Linked DNA regions of Caenorhabditis elegans. The protein of the gene in region 2 interacts with the protein of the main gene of each other region in a pairwise test. Each region holds a gene or a part of one and is shown on either strand. Other genes may lie near its edges. The genes, in order: abce-1, nhr-91, klp-3 and F35G12.5.

What was found.
Region 1: the proteins of nhr-91 (region 2) and abce-1 interact in a two-hybrid assay, tested with the Caenorhabditis elegans proteins (one large-scale study listed by BioGRID).
Region 3: the proteins of nhr-91 (region 2) and klp-3 interact in a two-hybrid assay, tested with the Caenorhabditis elegans proteins (one large-scale study listed by BioGRID).
Region 4: the proteins of nhr-91 (region 2) and F35G12.5 interact in a two-hybrid assay, tested with the Caenorhabditis elegans proteins (one large-scale study listed by BioGRID).

The regions. Positions count from the first base shown.
Region 1 is NC_003281.10:13,152,150-13,159,849, forward strand, and holds the start of abce-1 (ABC transporter, class E), read left to right. Parts: upstream 1-1,667; 5' UTR 1,668-1,683; coding exon 1,684-1,819; intron 1,820-1,870; coding exon 1,871-2,380; intron 2,381-3,806; coding exon 3,807-4,564; intron 4,565-5,428; coding exon 5,429-5,694; intron 5,695-7,597; coding exon 7,598-7,700. Other genes in the region: Y39E4B.10 (NR LBD domain-containing protein), read right to left, coding at 221-321, 374-527, 599-603.
Region 2 is NC_003284.9:15,307,373-15,315,402, reverse strand, and holds nhr-91 (Nuclear hormone receptor family member nhr-91), read right to left. Parts: upstream 6,029-8,030; 5' UTR 6,025-6,028; coding exon 5,864-6,024; intron 5,807-5,863; coding exon 5,701-5,806; intron 5,650-5,700; coding exon 5,561-5,649; intron 5,004-5,560; exon of another isoform or gene 4,710-5,003; intron 4,035-4,709; exon of another isoform or gene 3,900-4,034; intron 2,741-3,899; coding exon 2,645-2,740; intron 2,577-2,644; coding exon 2,524-2,576; intron 2,473-2,523; coding exon 2,315-2,472; intron 2,039-2,314; coding exon 1,635-2,038; intron 1,587-1,634; coding exon 1,335-1,586; intron 1,162-1,334; exon of another isoform or gene 1,093-1,161; intron 1,044-1,092; coding exon 938-1,043; 3' UTR 509-937; downstream 1-508. Other genes in the region: glb-28 (Globin domain-containing protein), read left to right, coding at 1-19, 147-338, 389-419. UniProt on the Caenorhabditis elegans protein: Orphan nuclear receptor.
Region 3 is NC_003280.10:7,840,529-7,846,153, forward strand, and holds klp-3 (Kinesin-like protein klp-3), read left to right. Parts: upstream 1-1,824; 5' UTR 1,825-1,888; coding exon 1,889-1,945; intron 1,946-2,121; coding exon 2,122-2,260; intron 2,261-2,745; coding exon 2,746-2,953; intron 2,954-3,087; coding exon 3,088-3,413; intron 3,414-3,505; coding exon 3,506-3,792; intron 3,793-3,840; coding exon 3,841-3,971; intron 3,972-4,018; coding exon 4,019-4,160; intron 4,161-4,203; coding exon 4,204-4,306; intron 4,307-4,356; coding exon 4,357-4,554; intron 4,555-4,602; coding exon 4,603-4,703; intron 4,704-4,750; coding exon 4,751-4,855; 3' UTR 4,856-5,125; downstream 5,126-5,625. Other genes in the region: Acetylcholine receptor subunit alpha-type acr-7, read right to left, coding at 5,136-5,255.
Region 4 is NC_003281.10:4,582,788-4,587,261, reverse strand, and holds F35G12.5 (SPK domain-containing protein), read right to left. Parts: upstream 2,680-4,474; 5' UTR 2,660-2,679; coding exon 2,594-2,659; intron 2,382-2,593; coding exon 2,268-2,381; intron 2,083-2,267; coding exon 1,980-2,082; intron 1,933-1,979; coding exon 1,805-1,932; intron 1,756-1,804; coding exon 1,631-1,755; intron 1,584-1,630; coding exon 1,448-1,583; intron 1,398-1,447; coding exon 1,272-1,397; intron 1,222-1,271; coding exon 1,099-1,221; intron 1,054-1,098; coding exon 958-1,053; intron 911-957; coding exon 788-910; 3' UTR 511-787; downstream 1-510. Other genes in the region: F35G12.7 (Divalent-cation tolerance protein CutA), read left to right, coding at 27-103, 148-207, 256-343, 388-510; F35G12.12 (26S proteasome non-ATPase regulatory subunit 5), read right to left, coding at 3,522-3,732, 3,787-3,961, 4,009-4,119, 4,171-4,371, 4,422-4,474.

The DNA.
Region 1 (7,700 bases), on a different chromosome or scaffold from region 2:
AAAACGGTTTTTAGGATTTCGTACTACAAGTTTTACAGTTTTTGGCAGAAATTCTTGTTTTAGGAGCTTATTTGCGCGGTTTTAACATTAAAAATGATCTATATTTACCATTTTTTAAGTGAAAATCGATACATTTTTGCATTTTAAACTCAAAAATTGCGTTTTTCTTGCAAAAAAAAAATGAAAAATTCAATTTTTCCCCCGAAAATCCAAATCTTACTGGGCATATTCTTCATGCATTGGCTCAAAAATCCTCTGAAACATCTCAATTGGAATACTGGCGAATAACCGATCGGAGCGCTCTCGATTTAGAAGATTATGCTGGAATTTTTCGATTTTTCGCATTTTTTCACCGCTCCGGGCACTCAAAAACCTGTAATTCGGTCGGAACTTTCACGAGAATCTTCATTTTCTCCTCGAAAGACGCTGTTGGATCCTCAAATAATTTAATGTGCTCTTCGATTTGAATTTCAATCTTTTTTTCGGCTTCTTCCTCTTTTTTTGTCATGGTTTCACTGCTTTCGTTGCTGGAAGGTTGAAAATTTAATGAATTATCGATAAATTTTGCGAATTTTAAATTAAAAAAATAAAAAATTACCTCATTTTGAGATCAATAAATCAGAAAAATAGTAGAAAATTGGAAAAATTAATGTTCAGCCGAGCACTTCTTCGTCATGGCGACATGGAGAGACTATGCGAAATCGAGAGACGCAGAGAAGCCGCGAAGCAAGCGCGCTCCACTGTACTCTTTTTTTTTCAGTATTTTTACACGCCACATGTAGCTTTTCAGCCTATTTTTCTGGTTTTCTAGGGTTTTTAGGCAATTTTTTATTTGTTTTTTGTTGAAAACTCAGACTTTAATTATGTAAAATCTAAAGTTTTACCTTAATTTATGATTTTCCGTCGAAAATTGCCTTTTCTCAACTAAAAAAATTACCAAAAATATTGGGAATTTTTAAAATTGCACTTGAAATTGTTGAAATCTCACTTAAAACGAGTTATTTCTGCCTATTTGAGGCTTATATAGCTTGTTTTTTATAATTGCACAACATTGTGGAATATTGCGATAATCGGGGGCACTCAAGAGGCGGTCTCCGCAAATTTTAGCAATTTCTCTACGTTTTTCGATAAATTTTCGGTGAAATTGTTGATTTTCTAGCTTGCCACGTCAATTTCCTGCTAAAAAGACACGTTTTCTATCAAATTTTTTTTTGTTTTTTTTTCCTATTTTCCATGTATTCTAGATGTTTCAAGCATTTTTCATATATTTTCTGTTGAAAAATCGAACATTAACTATGCAAAACCTGCTGTTTTACTTGAATTTATGAATTTTCGCTGAAAAAATTTTTTTTTTGCCTTTTTCAATGGTTAGGACTTGAAAAAACGACCCAAAATATCGGGAATTTCGAGTTATTTCTGCTTGAGCATTTTTTTGAGTTTTTCGGTGAAATTATTGATTTTCTAGCTTGTTTCCGTGCTAAAAACCACGTTTTCCATCCAATTTCATTGATTTTTGAGGTAAAACGAACAAAAAAGGCGGCGAGACCCATGCTATGTCCCTTTAAACCAGCGCGCTCTAATTTAAGAAATTTCCTCTAAAATATGAATTTTCTAACAATTTTTGCCTAAAAAACACGTTTCTTATTCAATTTCATCGCGTTTTTCAGGTAAAACGAACGAAAAATGAGTCGAAAAGGCCCATTAATAAAAAACAACGAGACGGACGTGCCACTGCGTATTGCTATTGTGGAAAAAGATCGCTGCAAGCCGAAAAATTGTGGTCTGGCGTGCAAAAGAGCTTGCCCAGTGAACAGACAAGGTATTTAAATCCTCGGTTTCTTTTTCACAAATAATTGCAACAAATATCCAGGAAAACAGTGTATTGTCGTCGAGGCAACTTCCACGATTTCTCAAATTTCCGAAATCTTGTGCATTGGATGTGGTATCTGCGTGAAGAAGTGCCCATATGACGCAATCAAAATCATCAATCTCCCAGCAAATCTGGCAAATGAGACCACTCATCGTTACTCGCAGAATTCCTTCAAGTTGCATCGCCTGCCAACTCCTCGCTGTGGAGAAGTCCTCGGACTCGTCGGAACAAATGGAATCGGAAAATCGACGGCACTGAAAATTCTGGCCGGAAAACAGAAGCCAAATTTGGGAAATTTCCAAAAAGAGCAAGAGTGGACGACTATTATCAACCATTTTCGAGGTTCAGAACTCCAGAATTACTTTACGCGAATTTTGGAGGATACTTTGAAGTGTGTCATCAAGCCACAATATGTCGATCAGATTCCAAGAGCTGCCAAGGGAACTGTTGAGAAAAATTTGACCCGAAAGCACGATAATGACAATTTGAACTCGGTTATTGATCAAATGGGTAGGTTTTTTCGGCGGAAAATTGGCTGGGATTCGTATTTTTCAGCGAAAATTTTACGTTTAAGTCGTTTTTTTCACTATTTTTCGGTGAAAAACTGAAAAATGAGTGATTTTCCTGAGAAAAATTGAAACGAAAACGCCGAAATTCGCTAAAAACGAAGAAATTTGATTTAAAAAATATCCATGTTTCGCAACAAAAAACATGTAAAATTAATATTTTGTTTTTAAAAAAATCACCAAAAAACCGTGCCGCAAGGTTGCAAAATGACGCTCCGCCTCTTTTTCTGTGCGACGCAGCATTTTTTTTGCAAAATTCGCACGGATCGGCCGTTTAATTTCAACAGTACTATAAAAATCGATTTAAAAACGTCCGCACCATCAAAATTTTGAAGCTACAGTACTCTTTAAAGGCGCACGCCTTTTTGCATTAAACAAAAATTTGTCGTTTGGAGGCCAATTTTTCAGAGAAAAATCAAGACAATTAAAAAAAAAATATTTTCAAAGCTTCTAAAATCAAATCTCTCCAAAAACTAGAAAAAAAATGGAATTTTTTCTTCTCCCCACTGAAAATTAACAGCTTTTTGGTCTGAAAAAATGTTTTTTTAAAAAACCAATGAATCCAATTTTTGCCAAAAATAACTAAAAATTTAAGTTTTTATCAAAAAAAATTTTTTAAAAAACACCCAAAATCCCCATTTTGTCATTTTTTTTTTCGAAAATTAAGAAAAATGGGCGAATTTTTAAGCGATTTTCGAGAAAAACAAAAATTTTACCGTAGTAATTTGAACCATGCAAATTTTTAAAATCAATTTCCGTCTGAATTTTGCAAAGAACGGAGCGTCGCACAGAAAAATAGGCGGAGCGTCAGTTCGCAACCCTGCGGCACGGTTTTTTTTGTAGATTTTTTAAATAAAATAATGTTTTTACTTGTAATGTAGAGGCACCACGTTTTCAAGATCTGTTCAAAAACAAGATCTACGAAAACAAGATCTACGTTTTCAGAATCTGGCACCGTGCTAACTGCGGTTTTCTCGATGAAAAACGAAACAACGATGCTCCGATGTTACGAGTCGTGTGTTGTTAAGCGTATCTTCTAGATGAAAATTTCAAAAAAATATTTTTCTGAACGCTAAACAACACGCGACGCGTAACATCGGAGCATCGTTGTTTCGGTTTTCACCGAGAAAGCCGCAGCTGGCACGGTGCCAGATTCTGAAAACGTAGATCTTGTTTTTGAACAGATCTTGAAAACGTGGTGCCTCAAATTTTTTTTTTCGAAAATTAAGAAAATGGGCGAATTTTTGAGCTATTTTCAAAAAACCGAAAAAAAAAATTTTCAAATTTTTTTTGCCGTAATAATATACCATGTAAAAAAATGTAAAAAATGTAAAAAATGTAAAAAAATAAAAAAACCATGTATTTTTCAGAGCTTCGTGGCCTTCTGGATCGTGAAATCGACCAACTCTCCGGCGGAGAACTCCAACGTTTCGCGATCGCAATGTGCTGTGTTCAAAAAGCCGACGTCTACATGTTCGATGAACCATCCTCTTACCTTGATGTCAAGCAACGTCTGAAGGCTGCCGCGATCATCCGCGAGCGTGTCAGTGATACGAACTATGTTGTAGTTGTTGAACACGACTTGGCAGTTCTCGATTATTTATCTGATTTCATTTGCTGCTTGTACGGAGTTCCTGGAGTTTATGGAGTTGTTACTCTGCCATCTGGTGTTCGTGAAGGTATCAACATGTTCTTGGAAGGATTCATTCGGACTGAAAATATGAGATTCAGAGAGTCAAAGCTCTCTTTCAAGACATCGGAGCAGCAGGAGGATATCAAGAGAACTGGAAATATTAAGTACCCGTCAATGTCAAAAACGCTTGGGAACTTCCATTTGGACGTTGAAGCCGGCGACTTTTCCGACTCGGAAATCATCGTGATGCTCGGAGAAAACGGTACAGGAAAGACGACGATGATCAAGATGATGGCTGGATCGTTGAAGCCTGAAGATGAGAACACTGAGCTCCCGCACGTCAGCATCTCGTACAAGCCGCAGAAGATCTCACCGAAATCTGAGACTACTGTACGCTTCATGCTTCACGATAAGATTCAGAACATGTACGAGCATCCACAATTCAAGACGGATGTGATGAATCCGTTGATGATGGAACAGTTGTTGGATCGAAATGTGAGAGTTTTTGAAGAATCGTGAATGGGGATTTTGCGATTTTGCTTCAAAATGTGCTAATTGATCTTCAGAATTCAGAATTGCCACTAAAAATCGAAAAATACTGAAAATTTCAGCTTTGAAAATCGTTCTCACCACTAAAACTTTTGGAAAGACAGTTTTTGGTCTGAAAAATTTAAAAAAAAACCAAAAAATCCAATATTTTTTCTAACAAATTTTATTAGGAACCGAAAAAATCCAATTTTTGAAAAAAAAAAATTTTTTTTCGTTTTTCCGTAATAAATTCGCAAAAATTGGATTATTTTGGAAACTTTTTGGCAAAATTTGTTTGGGAAAATCTATTATGTGTACACAAAATTCTGAGAATGCGTATTGAGCAACATATTTGACGCGCAAAATATCTCGAAGGGAGAACTACAGTAATCCAGTTTAAATGACTACAGTAGCGCTGGTGTCGATTTAAGGGCTCGATGATTTTCGAAACGCCGTAAATTGACACAAGCACTACAGTAGTCATTTAAACAGGATTACTGTAGTTTTCGCTACGAGATATTTTGCGTTTCAAATATGTTGCTCAATACGCATTCTCAGAATTTTGTGCTCCTGTAATAATTTTTGCCAAATAATTATTAGGAAACAAAAAAAAAAAGTTTTTTGTTAATTATAAAATCAAGTTTTTGCCAAAAAATAATTTTAAAAACCAAAAAATCCGAAAAAAAATATCCATTAGAGCCAGAATACTTTTAAAAACCAAAATGTTTTCTTTTTTTGTCAAAAAGTTTACAAAATAATCCAATTTTTGCAAATTTTTTATAGAAAAACGAAGATTTAATTTTTTTTAAACCTGACCAAACTCAATTACAGGTGAAAGAACTTTCGGGAGGAGAATTACAACGTGTCGCTCTTGCCCTTTGCCTCGGAAAAACCGCCAGTTTGTACCTTATCGATGAGCCATCAGCTTACCTGGATTCGGAGCAACGTCTTCACGCGGCAAAAGTGATCAAAAGATTCATTATGCATGCCAAGAAGACGGCGTTTGTTGTCGAGCACGATTTCATTATGGCTACCTATTTGGCCGACAGAGTCGTCGTTTTCGAAGGTCAACCGTCGGTCAAGTGTACGGCTTGCAAGTGAGTTTATTGTTTATTAGTGAGAAATACAGTGCATTTTTTCCCCATTCTACAACTTTAAAGACGCGCGCATTTATACAAAATGGTCTCGTCATTGGTCTCGCCACGCGCTCAACAAATCAATGGGATGCGCGTGGCGAGACCATTGCTCGAAAATGCGCGCGCCTTTAAAGTCGAAGAAGTTGAAAAAAAAAATGCACTGTATACCGTATTTCTTCTATTAGTATGGCCTCCCTATTAGACTTGCACTCCCTATTAGTATTGCACCTTGAACACCCTCCGAAAATTAGTATTGCACTCCCTTTTAGTGTTGCACTCCCTAATAGTCTTGCGTCTCTACTTTTTTTCGGTGCAAACCCGCGCCTCACTAAATTTAATATTTTAACAACATTTTCTGCGTCGTTTTCAATAATTTTCGTGAAAATTTTTATAAGATTGAAGTTATTGAACTTTTTTGTTGCAATTTCAATCAAATTTTCTGAATTTTTACATAAGATTCGAGTTTTTTCAGAACAAAAATAGTAAGCTCAAAGTCAGAAAAATGTTCTGAAAATTAGTATTGCACTCCCTAATAGTATTGCAAGCGGGAAGACCATCGAAAAATAGTATTGCAGCCATATTAATAAAAGAAATACGGTAATAATTTGTCAAAAAAATTTAAAACATGCCTATGGGGTCACAATGACCATCATGGTTAAAAAATTCAAAAAAAAAATTTCTAGATTTTATATGATTTTTTGAAAATTGGAAAAATCACAGTTTTCACCTAATTATTTTTGAATTTCCTGCTAATTTGATTTGTTCGATGGAGCGCGCTTGCATTGTTTTTATTAATTAATTTCAATTAATTTTATTTATTCTCGTTATTTGACTGATTTTCTTCATTTTCTATGTTTTTTCCTCGGAAAAAGGAAGAAATAAACAAGACAAATGAAAATTTAAAAAAAAACCAAAAAATCTAATTTTTTGCCAAAAAATTTAACAAAAATCAAAAAACACCATTTTTTCGCCTAAAAAATCGCAAAACACCTTAATATAATACCAACAAATTCAATTTTTCGCTAAAAAAAGATTTCTTATAATCCAAAAAAAAAACTTTTTCTGACAAACAATTATTCAAAAAACCAACAAACATAAACGATTTTTTCCCAAAAAAAAAACAAAACATCTAATTTTTGTCAAAACAAAACTACGATTTTTGCCAAACAATAATTTTTAAAAAACCAAAAAAAAATACATTTCTTGTCGAAAAATTTTAAAAAAACCGACAAATCCATTTTTTGCCAAAAATCCAATTTTGGTCAAGAAAAATTAATTTTAAAAACTTATTTTAAAAAAAAACTATCTTTAGAATAAACCAACAAAAATCCAAATTTGGCCAAAAATTTGTATAAAATAAAAAATCTAATTTTTTTAAAACAAAAACTTAAATTCGTTAAAAAGTAATTGAAAATGCGTAAAACTGTGATATATTGAGTTCCGACGGCAACAAGTCTGAAATTAGTATATTTCACAGTTTTACCCATTTTGAAATACTTTTTAACAAACATTTTGCATTTGTCTTAATTATTTCTTTTATTTTCGTATTAAAAAACATAGAAAATGAAGAAAATCAGTGAAATAACGAGAATAAATTAAATTAATTAATAAAAATAATGCAAGTGCGCTCCATCGAACAAATCCAATTGGCGGAAATTCAAAAATAATTGGATGAAAACTGTGATTTTTCCAATTTTTAAAAAATCATATAAAATCTAGAAATTTTTTTTGAATTTTTTAATCATGATATTCGGTAATTGTGGTACCATAGGCGTGTTTTAAAGTAATTTCTCCACTGGCGTATTACGTTTTTTTTCTGTATTTTTTTAAAATTAAACCAAAATAAAAATCATTGATTTTTCAGACCCCAATCCCTGCTGGAAGGAATGAATCGATTCTTGAAAATGTTGGATATCACTTTCCGTCGTGATCAGGAAACATATCGCCCACGCATCAATAAACTCGAC
Region 2 (8,030 bases):
ACGCGAACTTTAAGATCACGTGAGTTGCACGATTATCACATTAGTGAGATAAGATGTACTTATTCTTTCATGATTTTTCCGGTTTTTTTTTTGAAATAATTTTTTAATATTAATTTACATTAATTTACATTGATCTTTATTTTCAGTGGAAAACATTGGGAAAAATTTGGCGAAAGCTTGCTAACCACCGCCACCGAATGGAATGGTCCGGGGCGTCGTCATAAAGAAACGGTGAAGGCATGGATGGTGATGTCTTCATTTCTAGCAGACCGTCTTGCTCATGCTTCTCGCCTGGCTCACCACTCACCAATGCTAACTCCTCGCGTTCAGCTGTTGACGTAAGTTTCAGAGTTTTCAAATCAAAAATTCCGGAATTTTTATTTTTTAGCGGAAGATCGGCGTTCGAGTTCAATAACTGACTTCGAAATGAAGCAGTTTCAACAACATAACATATGGTTTATGTATCAATTCTGATTCTGTAATCTGTAAAATTTAAAAAAAATGTTAAACCAATAAATTTTTTTCTTTCGTAGAAAAATACACTACAAATTGTTTGAGAGAGTGGGTGAATGAGAAACGAGATAGGAACAGAGAATGGGGAGAGAACACAAAGACATCACGAATTGCACACAAATTATTCCAGAAATTCACAACTTGAAGAAAAGTAGTAGAAAATGATACTGTAGGATCCAAAATCATAGAAACTATTTGATTATGTTTCCGACCACACGTCTATGTTATGATAGATAGATCAAACAGATTGATTGATAGAGACAGAGAAGAAAAAAAAAACGTCAACTTTTTTGGTTTCGTGGGAAGAATTGGAAAGAGGCAGGGGAATTTCAAAAAAAAAAGAAACGAATAATAAGTGGAAAAAATGAACTAAATTATATTGCACAACCGAGAAATAAAGCTGTATTGAGGGTATTGGGGAAGACTACTCGTCGAACACTAGACGTCGCGGATTCTTGCAAAGCAGGAATGGGACGTAGAACATTTTTGAATGAAGCAGCACTGACGAAGCGTTTCGCAAATCCGGAAGCCTGGAAAATTGCGAACGTTTTATCATGGAATGATTATATAATATTAGAGCCTTTTAAAGTAATGTCGTATATCAGAATATGTACGACTATAATTTATTTTGGAATGAGAACCAAAGTCAGTGACTGGACAGGTATCATTAGGAAAACTATTCACTTTTGCCAACTTAGCAAATTTTACGGATATGAATAAGCAATTAAAAATTATGTCAGGTGGGCTTCCAAAGGTGCACATCAACTTATTGAAAACATGCATTTTTTCTAACTCTGATACAATTTTTAATAAAAACTCACCAGTCAAGTATCTGTGCGAGGCTCGTCGTCTGCGCGTCCTCTCCCGGCTGGTGCAGATGAATTTGAAGTGTTTTGACAAAGTGATCCTGAAGCGTGTTGACCTTGTCGATGATACTCCTATCAAGTGTCGAGTCGGCGGAGAGGTGAAGAAGAGTGATAGCTTTGATACAGACGTACGCTTCCGGAGAGACCTTGAGATTTGAGAACGAATGGAGGAGGGTCGTGAAACGGGTGACAAGCGGACCGGCTTCTCTGGAAAATTATCATTTAGAATAAATAAAGTTAAGTTTGATAGTCTACTTCGCCACGTGTTCCAATGGAATTTCTTTGCCGAGCACCAGTGATAATCGATTTTGAAGTAGCCGAAGGTTGACCTGTGGGTTTGTGAATGAGATCTCGTCAGTTTCGTCTATCATTTCTGTTGTGTCGGGGGAGTCCGGAGTAAAGACCGAGCACGCGTAGTATCCAGCAGATAGTAATACTAGCTCGGCCCATCGTTGTGTCAAAAGGTGGGTGTGTGCTTCTACGGGTAGTTCGTCGAAAAACGGCAAGGTTTTCGTCCACTCAACAAGTTGCTCCACAATTTCATCTCCTATTCTGGTTAACCTTTTGCAAGCAGGGGCAATATCGCAGTTTGCAGATGGATTAATTCGGAGTCCTTTTAGGTTGATGAGCCGGTCTAGGCAGTCCATCTCAACCAGTTCCTGTAAAATAGCAAAATCGAATAAGGCAATAATTTGTTTCAAATTTTTAACTGGCTCATAATGCACTAGGGCTGCTAAAGGGCTGCGAGGGGCTCAGCTCCAGCCCCGCATTTAGAGCTGGGGCTGAGCAACGCAGTGCGATATGTAGTTGTTTGGAAGCCCCCGACACTTTCGAGGTTCCGCCGGTCTCGAGCCACTAGCCACCATGGTATGGAAACCCCGAAAGTGTCGGGGGCTGCCAAAAAACTACATATCGCTCTGCAAGTGCTCACTCACCTTTATTAACTTTTTCCCACTTGGAAGGCTCTGAAACGGCCTTCTCTCCTGCTCCTCCACATAATCTTTCGTTTTCCTAATGATACTCCTCCTCTGCTTGTAGTTGCTATAGATACTGTTCCCATTTCTCCCGCCGGGCATGCGATCTTCTCTCACTGCTACAAAAAGACAAACAATTTTGCGGTTATTCTCCGTGCCGAAAAACTAACCTTCGGTTAGCATGCCCTTGCTGATGCACTTTCGGAAACGACAAGATTGACACCTGGAAGGTCAATTACGGTTTATTGTGAACTTTTTTTTTGTTGAATGGAATTTTTCGAATTTACATACCTGTTTCTATTTTGTTTGTCAATTTCACAGCAGTTGTCTTGACTGCAGTGATATACTTTTTTGTTTTGAACGGACCGCTTGAAGAATCCTTTGCACCTGAAATACAGTAGTTGTTGAGCATTTTGAACTAGCTGGGTTTCAAAATTTGAAAATTCAAGGTTACAAGTAACAAGTTACGAGCAGGTGGAGCATATGGAACAAATCAATTGACCAGCGGCCAAATGACAGTTGTTGACATTTCAGAATCGAGAAAAATGAATGCAACAGAACAAAACAAGTGGAAACATTTGGAAAACGAGACGGACGGCGGGAAAAAAAATTCAAAATCAGACGACGTGAGAAGTGGCGGACTAGAAGAACCAGAAGACGGCGGAAAAGAAAATGTGGGGGAGGAAAAGGTGGTGGGTTAAAATGATAGTAAAGTGAAATGCGCAAAAAAAAAAGAGGCAGCAACAGAGACGTCTCTTTTTGGGGTCTTCGAGTGACCTTGTTCTTTAAGATGCCCTTGCAACCTACCCACATTTTCCGTCTGTCATAACTTTTTTCAAGTTGTATGACGAAAAAAGGGGAGAAGTTACTGGTGTCTTGAAAAAAAAACGTGTTGCAATTTTTCTAGCTAATGTGGCATTTTATTTTTTGGACTATTTTTTTGTTTCTACTTTTTGGCTTTCTGAACCAATAGATTATCCGCACGTGGTGCCATGTTGTCCCATTACCGTTTGATCTAGAAAAAATGCGGGAAATTTTTGCCCAAAAAATGTGACGTCAGCACGTTTTTAACCATGCTAAATCAGTTGCTCTGCGTCTCAACTCCCGCATTTTTTGTAGACCTGCGTAGATCAAACCGAAATCAGACACTCTGGCACTAAGTGCATCCGAGGAAATTTTTATCTATGGGTTGCATGATTTATAGGTTGACTGAAATTTTAAGTCAAATTCGAGGCATTCCGCTGTTAGAAAACAAACTATGCCATGCATTTTTTATGCTTAGAAATGGTATTTTATTCCGATTAAAAATGTAAAACCGTTCCACACAATTATAAGCATTAAAACTTAAGCACAAAAAAAAGTTACGTGAGCCTATACAGAAATAAAAATAAGTTTTTTTTATTATTTTCGTGTTAAAACTTAAATTTCTAAATAAATTTAAGAAACAGCAAGGCAGCTTAAAAGTTTTGAAAATAGAAAATATTCTAAATTAAAATTTTAAAAAACTCTACGAAAACTGTGCAAAAGGTCAACTTAAAAGACAAAAATCACTTTAAATTGGGTCGTGGTCATCAGAAATGAGAGGTGGGGCAGCGAGTAAGATGGGGAGGAGCGGCCCCGAAAAGTAGAGGTGACGAGAAGAGGTACGCAAATGGCACCAGTTGAACCGACCTTGTCCGACGCGATTCCCTAACAAAACCTTGTCGACCTCCGACATTTTTTTCCGGAGAGACAATATGTCCGATTGATAATGATATAGACTAATATGTATTACTTGAACTTTCTCTAACTGAGCTGTCGATTACTGAAACCTACTTTGATCGTTATCCGAGTGTCCTCTGTACTTTGAGTACGGTGTGGTACACTGATTGTTATCTTAGGAAGGCCGTTCTGAACTTTCGGGGGAACTTTCGCAGCTCTCCCGTTTTTGTGAAATAGCTTGATTGTTATCGTAAGTGCGGGTCAATTGCGTTTTTTTTTATTCAGATAATTATTTCGACGGACATCAACTAAAAATCACAGTTCTTTACAACAGTACAGTCAAATAGAAATATTTACAGCAAGCTGAGATGAAATATTTACAATGAGCGCCTATAATTTTGGGAACGTTTATGCTGTAAATGGAAAAATTGTGAGTTAAAAAAATATTTTTTTAAGGGTTTATGATTTAGGGTTTATTCAGATAGTATCACTTTTATAGTAACACATTGAAAAAAAAAGAAACAAGTTCTTATGGTGCGTGTGACCTAGAGAAAACCGTCTAAACCGATTCAAAGTGCACTTCCACTACCGACTTCACCTCCTTCCAAACCGAGGGTCAACCGGGAGGCGAGAAGGGCGCTGTAGTGAGAAACGAATGGTCGAGGTGCGTGACACATTTGGCCGGCCGTCGCCCTTCGCAACATTTCACTGACTGGGTGTTCGGCGGTGCGTCGTGTCATGCTGAAGGCCTTGACCATCATCGCGGATTCTGAAGGCCGCAAAATCTGACTGCCCCCCCCCCCCTCCAGCACCCGAGGCGGACGTGTGTCTACGTTGACGACGACGGCGGCGACGGCGTCAGCATCCCCTCCCCAGCATCGGATGAAAATGTAGCGCACTGGTGCTGACAACTGGACTTTCACTGGTGTGGTGCCCCCCACCACCACTTTCGCTTTCCCGATCCGATCACTAATTCCGTTAATAGCTCTCCCCCTTCTTCTCTCCAGACAGTTTTTATGTTGATCCTGGAAGAGGGCGAGCGGAACAGATTTCTGACCACCCGGGAAAAGAAAAATAACAATATGAAAACTTTCGATAGAAAACAAGATATAAGCAAAGGGAAGAAAGTGAAGTGAAACTAAATTAAATTATGAAATCGGCATGGATATTTATATTAGAGTAATTTTCAAAGCATCACTATTTCAAAGCATCAAACAGTAAAAACACTTGCCTAATTAATTAATTACAGAGATACAGATTGAAAGATAATTCCAGATGTATATTTTGAAACAAAAAATTTGGTTAATTATGTAGTGCTGAAATAGTATTATATGGCATCCTATTAACATCAATGTCTTAATTGGAAGTACCACAATTCAAAACAGAGGTCAGAAAACAGCAGAAACTGCGTAAATTTCAAAATACATGAAAAAAGTTTTTTGTTGTTGCTCGAAGTATGAACTTCCCCCCCCCCCCTCCGTATTTTTAATATCTAAATGCACATACCCTTCACAGGTGGCAGCACCGTAATGTAGACCGGTTGACTTGTCACCACATACCGAGCACAGCTTGCTGCTGGATTTTGAAACGGCATTCTGTAATTGTTCTACTACATAATTTCAATAATTTTCATTCAGTTCGCATACCGAAGTACTGTCTGTTGTTGGAGTTCCAAGAATAGAGAATAGAACTTTGTTTGCTGCAGAAGTGGAGTCGTCGGTTTCAGAGTTTGGGCTTTCGGTTTGACTGAAGCTGAAAATTTAAAATTTTGAAACTAAGCTCTCCACATCTTCAGGAAAATGCAATTACCTTGGAGTCATCGAGTCTCTCATATCCAATTTCATTGGCGGCACCAGTGTGGATGCCAAATGTGTCAGGTAGAACTGCAACAAGTTGGTCTGTGCCGCGAGAGCCAAGTTGTCATGGTCAAAAACAGGTGGCGTCTCAGATGTCGAGTCCGCAACGTCCATCGCACTGAAAGAGGCTCATTAATCAGAGGTCATTAATGTATGCAGATGGAGCAGGCAACATACGGTAGGGACAGTATAATGGGGTATGTAAATGGGAGGGGGAGCAAAGAAGAACAATTGGTTTAGACTTGTAGATGTCGTGAAAATGCGATAATATTTTTGTTACCCAGTTTTTGAGCGATTGTATAGTAATCAGAACGGAAAAGAAGATAGGAAATGAGCTCCCTCGTGTGAATAAATGTATTATCAAGACCGAACAAAGTCAGAATAATTGTATAGTTGTTTTGAAGCAAAAAAAAAGTAAAATTGTGTGTTCGAAAGAGGTACAAAATCTTCCTCACTTCTGAGTCAGAATCGCAGTGTACAAAAAGCGCGGATGGTAGGGCCGGTCGAGTTTATCGAAGTGAGATCAGAGTGTGCAAAAGAGCATTTCAAATGACGGGACGGTGGAAGGGGGGGGGGGGGGGTTCGTCTACCAATTTTCAAGGTCACGCATTTGGCGGCGGAGCTCGTTGAGAGCCAAATGGCAGCATTTGGACGTCACCGCCTGGTACTGAGAGCCGTTGCCGGGTGGGTTGAGAAGGTACAAAACTGTAGTGGTAGGTTTATGAGAATAAAAATAACAATAGAGTTTTTAACATTAAAAAGTTACTTGTTTGACAAATCAGTTTTGCTACAATTAAAAAGAATCAATTATTGTTCCTAAACATTCCATGAACAGAAAAACAGATTTTACCAATTTAACTTGCAAGATACTTTACGGTTATTTGCAAGAATTTGCTCAATTTGAAAATAGAGAAAAAGCTTATCAAACTTATGTTCCTATAGTATTGAAACTAATCATATTATTAATATCTTGAAACCAAACCTATATATCTGCTGTATACAAATAGTTGTTACAAAGGAATATACAGTGAGGTTTAAAAAAAAATTATTCCAAAGTGATACAGTTTTTCTATTGTCCGAAATAGTACATACCGGTTTGGTTTGAGCCTAAAAAACGTGGTAATCATCATTTTGACAGTTATTGAGTTAGTTTCTAGAAAAATAGCGATTCTCAACGATGGCGGAAATGCAACAGATATAGAAAATAAATGAAACATGTTAATCATAAAAGTGATAAGCTATCGACCAGACTTTTTCAACTAGTTTGCTAGTTTCAAAACTTGTAACACATTGTTGCTACATCGCTGATCCAGTAACCAGGATACTAATCGAACAAAAATGAAAATGCGAGAAAGAAAAACGAAACGCAAGGCGGTTGAGGAGGAGAGGAGGATAATTCAAGAAAGTACAAAGTGAGAAAGTTAAACTGTAGGTCGGTAGGTCACACACACATTCACACAACAATCGAGAGAGAGACGATGGTAAGCCGGAATGGATGAAGGATGGAGGGAGGGGGGGGGGGGGGGACAGCGCGCGGATATTGGCGCAAAAGCAAAATTGGGTGAAAGATGCATGGAGGGCGAACGAAATTTTGTGGGTCAGACCTTGAAATTCGTGAAAACCGCGTACATTCAATCGGGCCTATTGCCGGTCAAACGAGAGTGACAGTAGGTCTCTCCTCCTATTGCCCCTGCCTTCCACCGGCGCCTCTTCTTGTCTCCATTTCCTTTCACTGGACGATCTCATAAGGTTATTTTCAAAGTGCACATAAAATGGGGAAAGAGGAGGAGGGATTGGTGAGCGGGAGGGAGAAGCTGTGGGGGGGGGGGGGGGTATAGGCGGATGATGAAGCAAAGGGTACGTGGATGAATATGAGTCTTTTCTCTCTATGAGCAGCACACACGAATTCAAATTTAAAGGTGAGAGGGTCGCTGCTATACACATGAGTGATTACAAAGCCCAGAGAGTGTTGGATACTAATCAGGGTGCAGCACGAGCAACCGTGGTGGCTAATCTTATCGTGGTTAGGAGGAAAGGTTGTAGAACGACCTAGTAGTATAAGCTAGCTCGTTGAGCAAAAAGATAATAGAGAATAGGGAAACGGAATGAGAACGCACGAA
Region 3 (5,625 bases), on a different chromosome or scaffold from region 2:
GTCTTGTCGTGGTCATCACAATTACACGGAAAACTATTTGTTTGTGTTATGTAATGTGTATGTTCTCGCCATAAAACAAGAAATGAAACCTGAAAAACGAGCAGAAACAATTGGCTTACTGCCTATTACGTGTGTGTGTGCCCGTTCCGCGTCCCTCTCATTTCCGCCCAACTCCGCCTACTTTCGTCTCTTTTCGATCACTTTTCCGCATCATTTTGATCACTTTTACAAACACATTCATGCCCGTAGTCCACCACCATCATCGCTTAACTCTTGAAATTTCTGATTGGTCATTGAATTTTGTCTTGGAACTTCCATCATTGAACACCAATCCAATTTAGACTTTTCCTTGTATTTATATGCCTATCGCCTGAATTTCTCTGATCTAGATGCTACCCAAAACAGACTTTTTCCCATTTCGTGTCACTCCTTTTTTGTGGGTCACAACTAATAAATCATGTTGCTCGTCGGTTTCTCGGAGCACACTCCATCCTTTTCCTTCTCATCAATTCAATGTGAATCGACATGCTTCTTCTTTTTTCTTCAGATTTCTTCACTACCGTCGTCACTTTTCGTTTTTTTTTCTTTTTCAACCACTTGAAAATGTGAAAATGTGCACTAGAAGTTTATGAGCTCTTGTAACCGAACACAGGCTCGTTTGTGAAAATGTGAAATGGAATGATGTTGGAAGAAAGAAAAGAACAAATCATGAGCTCCGGGTGATGGAATTCAAACATTTTTCCACAAATCTTATTGGCTTTAGTCAGAATTCTTCGTTCGTTATTCTGTAGAGTGACCCGAGTCAGACAAGCTTAATGAAATCATCAATATTCATTATAAACAAATTGTTTTAATTTATTTAAAGATCATTCTTTATATTATCAGAAAACAAGCTCTGAGTTTTTAATAACCATTTATTCAAACCTCCAAATATTCAATAAATTGGGCTTAATTTCTGTTTCAAAATGTTTTTTAATCAACCAATATATTCTCATCAGTTGTTCTATGAAAATTCTATACATTTACAAGAATTTTGGAGCGATGGAATAAACTAGGTTATAGCAAGTTGATGATACCTTTTCCACTATTTGAAACTCGACCGTTCTGTGAATTTTCTATAAATACAAAATTAACCTCATTCATGAAAGTGCTTGACGGCAAACAAAACAGTACCGAGATCAGATCACAAATAATTTTCTCTTCCTTTTTGTTCAATGTTCTGCCATCAGTCTACATTGTATTCAATTTCATGTTTGATTTGTGCGCCTGTTTCGCTACAAGCTCTTTCTCTGTGCCCTTTCAACTTTTCATCCTCCTCATTCCTTCTTCAATTTTTATTAGTTTACCTTCTCTCACTTTTTTATGACGTGGAATCACTGTATTTGCAGAGATACTTCTTCACCTTTTTCTCCATATTCGACCAGTTCTTTCACTTCTTCTCGGTTTTTTCTTTTCTTCCCTTTTTCCGCTAATAATACCTGACCAACAATTCATTTTCGGCTTGGTCTTGTATAGAAGACCACTTGAGATACTTTTGAATGCCATTCAGTTGCTATATTTTACTTTTTTTTGTTTTTTTCCTGTTGTTTTAGTTGCTAACTAAAAGATTATCCTTTTTGATCTGGCTACGATATAGTAGACAGAAAGAGAAAGTAAAAAATCGAACGTTGTTGACATTTTGTTCACTTTTTATTTCCTTTTTCAATTTTACATACTCTTAAATATGTTGACTATCCTCTATGTTTCTAAATGAACACAAAAATTTTTGTCTCCGTTTTTTGCGTTGTTTTCCTCAACCGCTGCACCCTAGAATTACTGTTTTCCAGAAAAAATAAACGATCGACACACATAAACACAGGAGTCTCTCACTCCATTTTTGACTTTAAAAATGGATTCGCATGTCGGCGAAGTCGATATTTTCCAACAATGCAAGTATATTCATGAGGTTTGTTCTAATTTCAGTTTGTTTTTGGTTTAACTAGTGTCACTAGTTGCACAAAGTTTGAGAGAATATTTTAAGATTTTTTTTTTCTGAAATTGATTGAACCATTTTTCACTGAGTTTATTAAAAAATTGTGTACCAGAATTCTAATTCACATTCCAATTATTGTTCAATTTCAGGTGGAACTCGTAAATATGAAGTTGCAAATGCGAATTCTGGAGACACACATTGAGACAAAAGACCGACTTCTGAGAAATTTAGAAGATATTATAGACGAACAAGAGTCACGAATTGCAAATATGGAAGATTTTATTCAAGGTACGCACTGTCGTGTGTAGTGAATTTTTGTGAAGTTTTGCATGATTAAAACCCCGTATTACTTATCCGTAATCTTAGACACTTACTTGATATATTGTCATGAGTACCGTGTTTTTTAATCCCAATTTTTTGATCGTCGTGTGATTTGGCTATCTTTAGCTCAAAAGTGTTATCTTTTAATACGCATTTTTGTTTTTTCTTAAAGTAATTGTGTTGTGGTGGTCGGATTGGCATGATTTTATAGTGTTTAATCTTTATTATTTTCTACTTGGTTTTTTGGTTGACAGTGCCTTTTTTCAATTTCACATATTCTACCAAAATCATTTCAATCCGGCCGATACTGATAATATTTTTCTAACATCATTACATGTTCACTTTAATTTCGCAAGTCCAAACAAAACTTACAACAGCTTATTTCTAAACAATAATCTAGCAAACGGCTAATTGGAATGATCAGGTTATTAAATGTTGAAATTGAATTGCAGGCCGTGCCACGTCATACACAAATCGGTCAAATATGCTGAAAGGAATTTCAGTTCTTTCACTGGATTTCGGAAATCTTTCGGAAGAAAATCTACGATTGAAAAATGCGCTGAGCCAAATGCAAAAAGTGGCAAGAGTGAATGAGTTATTGGAAACTGATGAAGATTATGAAAGTGATATGACAAGCAATGAGGATCGATTTGCTTTGAGGTAACCATTTTATTGTAATGTGATTGTCTTGTGAAAATAGTTTGAACACTTGAATTTTTTGAAAAGTAGGTCAAAAATGTAGTGTAATTTATTTTCCGTTTGCAAGCCTTTGCATGTTTTCCTGTGTATTCCAGCCGTGATTCTTCATGTTCGGTTCCCAGATCAGTGAGCCCCCAACCAACGGGTGACGTCATAAAGCCATATCCTCAAATGGTTCAATCAATGAGAGAAGAAGGGCATTGGAAGAAACTTCAGAGATGTGCAGAAGAGCTGAAAACTGAAAAAGATGAATTGAAGAGACTAGCATTGGATACAAAAGATGCATTCAATGTATGTATGGCTGAAATGAGAATGATGCTCACTTCAAAGACAACTGATTTCTTCCGAGTTCTCATTGAAAGATACAAAGCAGAAATGGAAAAACGAAAGCAATTACACAATCAATTGGTTGAGTTGAATGGTAAGTTCTAAATTGATTGAAATATTCCAAGAAATCGGAATGATTGATCTTTATAACTACTTTCCAAAAAACTAAAATTTTCAATTTTTAAGGTAACATTCGTGTATTCTACCGTATCCGTCCACAACTTGCATCAGAAACTGACAATCAAAAACCAGTTGTCGTGATAGATGAAATGGATAACGGAGTTGTCCACGTGTCAAACACAACGGGAACTCGGAAAACTAGTGCTGGAGCTGACAAGGTTATTCCAACTGATTTCTCGCAAGATCAGATATTTAATGAAGTTTCTCCGATTATTACATCTTGCATTGATGGTTATAATGTATGCATATTTGCGTATGGACACACCGGAAGTGGAAAAACATACACTATGGATGTAAGTTTAATTAAATTTTCAATAGAACTTTAAATTTCCAATTTTCAGGGTCCCGTCACAATGCCTGGAATCAATCAAAGAGCTATTATGCAATTGTTCGAAACTGCGAAGGAGAGAACGGGCGATATAAAATATGATATTAAAGTTGCCATGATGGAGATATACAATGAAAAAATACGGTAAATTGACTTTTTTTTTAACCTAAAATTGCAAATTCATTTTTCAGTGATCTCTTGAACACTTCCAACACAAATTTGGCAATTCGTCAAACTGAAGAAGGGAGAAGCTCAATTCCAGGACTTGAGGAAGTTTCAGTGAACTCTGCAGAAGAAGTCACGGAAACGCTTGCTAGAGGAAGAAAGAATAAGGTGAATTTGAAACAACTTCATATTCTAAATTTTCAATTTTCAGGCTGTAGCTGCTACTGAAGCCAATATTGAATCCAGTCGTTCTCATGTTATTGTTAGAGTTTTAGTATCGGCCACAAATCTTATAACAAAAGCAACTACAGTTGGTATGTCATTTTTCAAGTGAAAAAATATTTTGAATATATGATTTATTCAGGTCGTCTGAATTTGGTAGATCTTGCTGGATCAGAGAGAGTTTCTCAAACGAATGCAACCGGTCAACTGCTAAAAGAAGCTCAAGCTATCAATAAATCTCTATCTGAACTTGGAAATGTTGTACTTGCTCTTCGCCAGAATCAAAAACATATTCCATTCAGAAATTGTCAATTGACAAGAATTCTTGAAGATAGCTTGAGTGAGTTTCATAATATATTGGGATTTCCCTTTTAAATATTATTTTCAGATGGAGACAGTAAAACTCTGGTCATTGTGCATTTATCACCAGATGCAAAGAGTTTGAATGAATCTATTAGCAGTGTTAATTTTGCTGAAAAAATCGGACAGGTATGCATTTATGCCTTATCACATTTTACAAAAATTAAATGTTTCAGGTATTCACAAAAAGTGGAACGATGAAAAGAGAACCAACACGTAGAAGTATGACTGGAATAAGCAGTGGTCAACGAAGAGAAATCCCAGCATCTCCAAGAAAATGAACCTCATAAAATATCAAATATTTCATCTCTACTTCTCCAATAATCATCTTGTCAAATCCCTGAAATACCCGCTTACTCTTTCCATTCTAGTCCATGAAAAATTTCAAAAATTCAAAATGGGTTCCAACAATTTTTTTTTTCTAAAACTGCTGACTGACCAAAAAACTTGAAATACGGTTTACTTTTTCAAATCTAAATATATCCCCCATTTTTATTATTTGCAAATTTGTTTATGTGTGAGCTTTGAAACAATAAAAATATTCATTTAATATTTTTTAGTTCAATCCAATATTTTGATAGGTGGAATTGCAACAAAAATGAAGCAACAAATTATAAAAACAATTGTGAAGATTATAAGGCAGAATCGGTCAACTGCTTGAGCTGCAAACTTCCATTCGTCCTAAAATTTGAAATAAACATTGTTTTTTTATTAGGCCTGCATGTAGGACTATTTTTTATTTGCTGGTAAGTGTGACTATAAGAGACTGGAATGGTAATAGAGGAAATAAAGTATTGAACTATAAGGTTGATCTAACTCTAAAAAGAAATGTTAATAATGTTGTCAATTGTATAAAATAACTTAAACCCTATTTTGGGGCATATATGACAATATAATACATGCATTACATTTGACCGAGTACGGTTGGCTCTCTCTATCTATCTCGTTGTCCAGACCAGACTCATTTTTTCCGCGAAGTACTCTATGCCTCTTCCCTCTCTAAAAGAGACTCAGACAGTCCAAACAGAAGGACATTCTCTTCCACGGCCAC
Region 4 (4,474 bases), on a different chromosome or scaffold from region 2:
AACATAAAATAAGTTTTCAAATAAAAATGACAACACCCGCTGTAAAAATGGTTGTCGCGTATGTGACAGCTCCGAGTAAGGAAGTTGCAATGACTGTGGCAAGGTATTTTTTTGTTTTCTGTCTACCAAAACATAATTTCATTTCAGAACAACTGTCACTGAAGCATTAGCCGCTTGCGCCAATGTTATTCCGGAAGTCACATCTGTGTAAGTATTTTATCTTTTTTAAATCTGTGCGAGAATCCAGATATTCAGATACAAATGGCAAGGAAAAATTGAAGAAGATCAAGAGCATGTCGTGATCTTGAAAACTGTAGAAAGCAAAGTCGAAGAGCTATCAGCTGTATGTTTTTATTTCGGATCACTAAGATTTTCATTCAATTTCAGCGTGTTCGATCTCTTCATCCGGCTGAAACTCCGTGCTTCTTCACACTGGCCATTGACAAAATAACTCCCGATTTTGGAGGATGGATTGTGGATTCTACGAATTCTTCAACTGCGAAACATTGAAACTTAAAACTTTATTCATATTTATTTCTACCAACTAAACATTAAATCAACGGGAACTGATAAATACATACAAACAGATTTGGCTAAGGAAAAAAACATCGTAATAAGAAAAAATGCTCCGAAAATTTGAAGATTCCAAAATAACGATTTGAGCATGCTTTTTTGGGGATTGTCTTGAAAGCTTCAAATTTTTTTTTCGAGCGATTCTGATGTGATTTAATGAATTTTTTTCAAAGAGATCGAGTTGAACGGGAAAGACAGGGCTATCATTAACTAGCTAGCGAGCATCACTTCGAACTCCAACAGCTTTGTCTACAATGTTAAGCGAGAAGACCATCGGGACAGCAATCTTGTATGCATGGCGTTTGTATGTATGATAATCATATTCCGTCCAAAATAACTGAAAAACATTGAAATGTTTTCTCATATATGTTCAATCATTCTTACTTTTTGCTCCTGAATAATTATCTCAAAGATCCTATCCATGCTTTTCTTTTCGTTATTGTATTGTGTCTCCCATCCCGGAAAGTCTTCACACATGAACTGAAAATTCGAAGTTGAAAAGAAATCCACTAAAAAAACTCTCACTTTGTGGATGCTGTATGTAGATTCTGAAGCGGACTTTGAACTAACATATTGATAGATCATAGAAAACTCACAGTCTCCAATTTCATGGAAACCGAGAAATTTAATTACTTGGTTGACCTTCACCTTAAAAATATTGATTTACTTTCTTGACCAATCAAAATATAATAGCTTACTCTGTTCATATTCTCAGAATCCGAGGGCATTATCAAGTTGAACTTCACGTAAAGGCTCTCTTCATTCAACAGCGACAAGAGTGTAAATGAATGATGGTTCTGTATCCAGGACCTTGGGATCACTTTCTAAACGTACTAAATTTCTCCCTTGTTTAACAATAAGATTAAATTATTACCTGAACCTCTTCCTCAAAATCAGTGTAATTAAACCCATCTGGATTTTTCTGATCAAGTTTCTGCAGCACGTACATGGTTTGCGGAAAAAATCTCAAATTTTTTGCCCACCAAATTTCAGCGAGTCGTCTTGCTTCCCTACAGAAAACCGAATAATAAAATGCATAAGGTGCTTGATAAAATACTTTTTCAAACTAGCATCTGTTGAAGGTTTCGTTGACACTGCTGTAAGGAAAGAAGAATATTGCATTTGGAACTCGCTCCCTCCTATGAGATTCATGCGAGCAATTCTTTCAGTTATATCCAATTCCTGAAGGTAACCCGTTTGGTTTTAATTTTCCAAAACTTCGGCATTCTACCTGAGCCTCGTGATTGTTTTCGCGTGCCGATTCTTCCTCCAATGGTGATGGCGTGCTCAGGTTTGTCGAAGAATGCGCAAAGTCCTGATCAATCGGCGCAAACTTGAACAGGACATTGTGATTTTCATCTGAAAAGAAAGAAATAATAAACAATTCTCAAAAAGAAAAGAATCACCATTATCAAGAATGCATTTTTTATCCAAAAGATTGATTCCTTGGATGTACCTTTCGATTGCCATTTTGGATTTTCCTGGTTCAGTAATTCGATGCAACTCATCCTTAAAAAAGGAAAGTTATACTTTCAAAATTCATTTTGATAGAACTTCAATTCCCCGTTGGATTTTAGAAGGTGCAGAAAATGTGACTCCAGAGGAATTTCAATTTTAAGAAAAGCTTGCAAAATAGCCGCAATTTCTTAGGATCAAACGGAGAGGTCTCAGAACTTATACAAATTATAAACTACCTCGAATTCCTTTTTCATCACCGTTTTAAACATCGTCTTGAATTCCTCCAGGCTCATCTCCATTCTCCCAGTTTTTACGAAGTACATGACAATCGCCTGACATTGGACGCGCAGCTAGAAATAATTCATGTTTTATTTGTCTTTCGCATTGGGAAATATACTGCATAGTAAGGTAATTGTATCAGTTTCGCAACAAAAATAAGTAAATTTACGTAAATCGTAATGTTGAGAAGGCGATCTAACAGAAACAGAAAATTAAGTAAAGTTAGATTGATATGAAAGCTAGCTTTGATGAATAGAATATAATAATTTGTTTAAACAATTACGGTAATCTCGGCATCCAATCGTTTCTGCTCTGTCACTCGTGCAGTTGATTCTTGTTGACGATGCATTGCAGTCTGTGTTGAGTACTGAAAACTTTATATATTCAGCATGCATTTATCTTTTGAACGATAAAATAAACGCATAGAAGTTGGAACAATGAGGAAAGCCTATGTAGAAAAATAAATATAAATTTTCCGAATTTTCAATCATCAAACTTGCAGCTAATTGTGCGGTGCGTCGATAGTGTGAAGAAAATGGGAATTAGTGGGCGTGACTAGCCAATCAGCGGATTGTTGGGTTGGCCACGCCTTCTTTTTTTAAATTGATCAATAGCGGTAACGAGAAAATTATTGTTTTTCTATGCACTTTGGACGCACCATTATAGTCCAAATAACATGAAAGTCCAATTAATGTAACGTTAGTCTATCTAGATAGACTATCTTTCAAACATAAATAAGTCCACTCAATAAGCGATCTCAAGAGATATACATTTTTGACTTACATTTTAACGTTTTATATCGCGGCGAGACCAAAAATTGAATGAGTTTTAAATCAATTCGAAATGAAATTTTTATTTTCTTGGCGGCGAAAATGCGAGAAACACGATAGTGTGTTTTACTTAAATAGCAAATTCGTTTAACCTTCACGTTGTTAGCATTTCATTTTTTGACGCTGAAGCTTTGAAACAATCATTTCAGTTTTCAAAACTCGTTAAAGATTGAAGTAAATGGGATTTCAAACACAAGAGTATATGTAAAGACTTATATTAAAAACATTACATCAATAAATTTCATTAAAACTTCAAACCGGAACATGAATTAACGGCGAACAAGTCATTTTTGAGGCAATAAAATACTGTATTGGAATAATTGAGATGAAAAAGAAACAAAAAATTGAATAGTCAAAGAGATTCAGGATATACAGATCAATCTAAAGAGCCATTTCCTCAACACGCGGAGCAGGTGCAACAGCCGGTTGCAGATATTTCTTGAGACGGCCAATCAGTTCTGGATCAGCTTTGAGTACTTCGGCGCTCTTTGTATTCTCCGACAATTCAATGATTCGATGAATAATTTGACGTTTGCGAATTTCGTATTCTGGATTATCTTCTGATTTATCGTCCAATGCCCAGTCAATGAATCTGAGAAAAAACAATTTTAATAAAAAATCTCGCATAAAAATGTCGTTAACATACCCCTGGAAAGTGATGAACTGATGAACAACTGATGGATATGTGAACAACTGTTGCCAGAAATCATAAATACAATTCTTCATCTCAGGGAACGGCTTCTTAACATTTCCAACTGCTACATGTGTCAATGCTTTTCCACCGAGACGCTCGTACCATGTTTCAGCAATTTTTTCAGTCGCTGAAATTATTAATTTTCAAACATTCCACATAACTAAATAAGCTCACTATTCTGGAAAAGGAGAGTGACGGCCTGAAGAGTTCGACACTTCAATTCCATTGTTCCCATCGTACATGCAGCACCAGCAGCTCCCAAAGTATTCTCAAGATCTTTTGAATCTGAAACAATATGATTTTTAATATCTTGCTTTTGAAAAATTTGGAAAATACCTTTGAACATATCCTCCAAAGTTTCTTTTGCCTCGACAGAGAAGCACATACTGGCAAAATGATCGAAAGCTCCAAGACGACTGACCACACTCAATTGATCGAACATTCTGATTTCGAGCATGAGACGCCGTGCAAGATCAGGGAAATATTTAAGAACTTGTGGGTAGGAACGAGCCATATAACACATGAAACGTGTTCCGTCTGTTGATAAAAATATTGTTAAATATTAATTGAATGAACTGGTAACTTACATAAATACATTTCCCCACCATCTGGAGACTCCTTCGACCATTCCATCAACTCA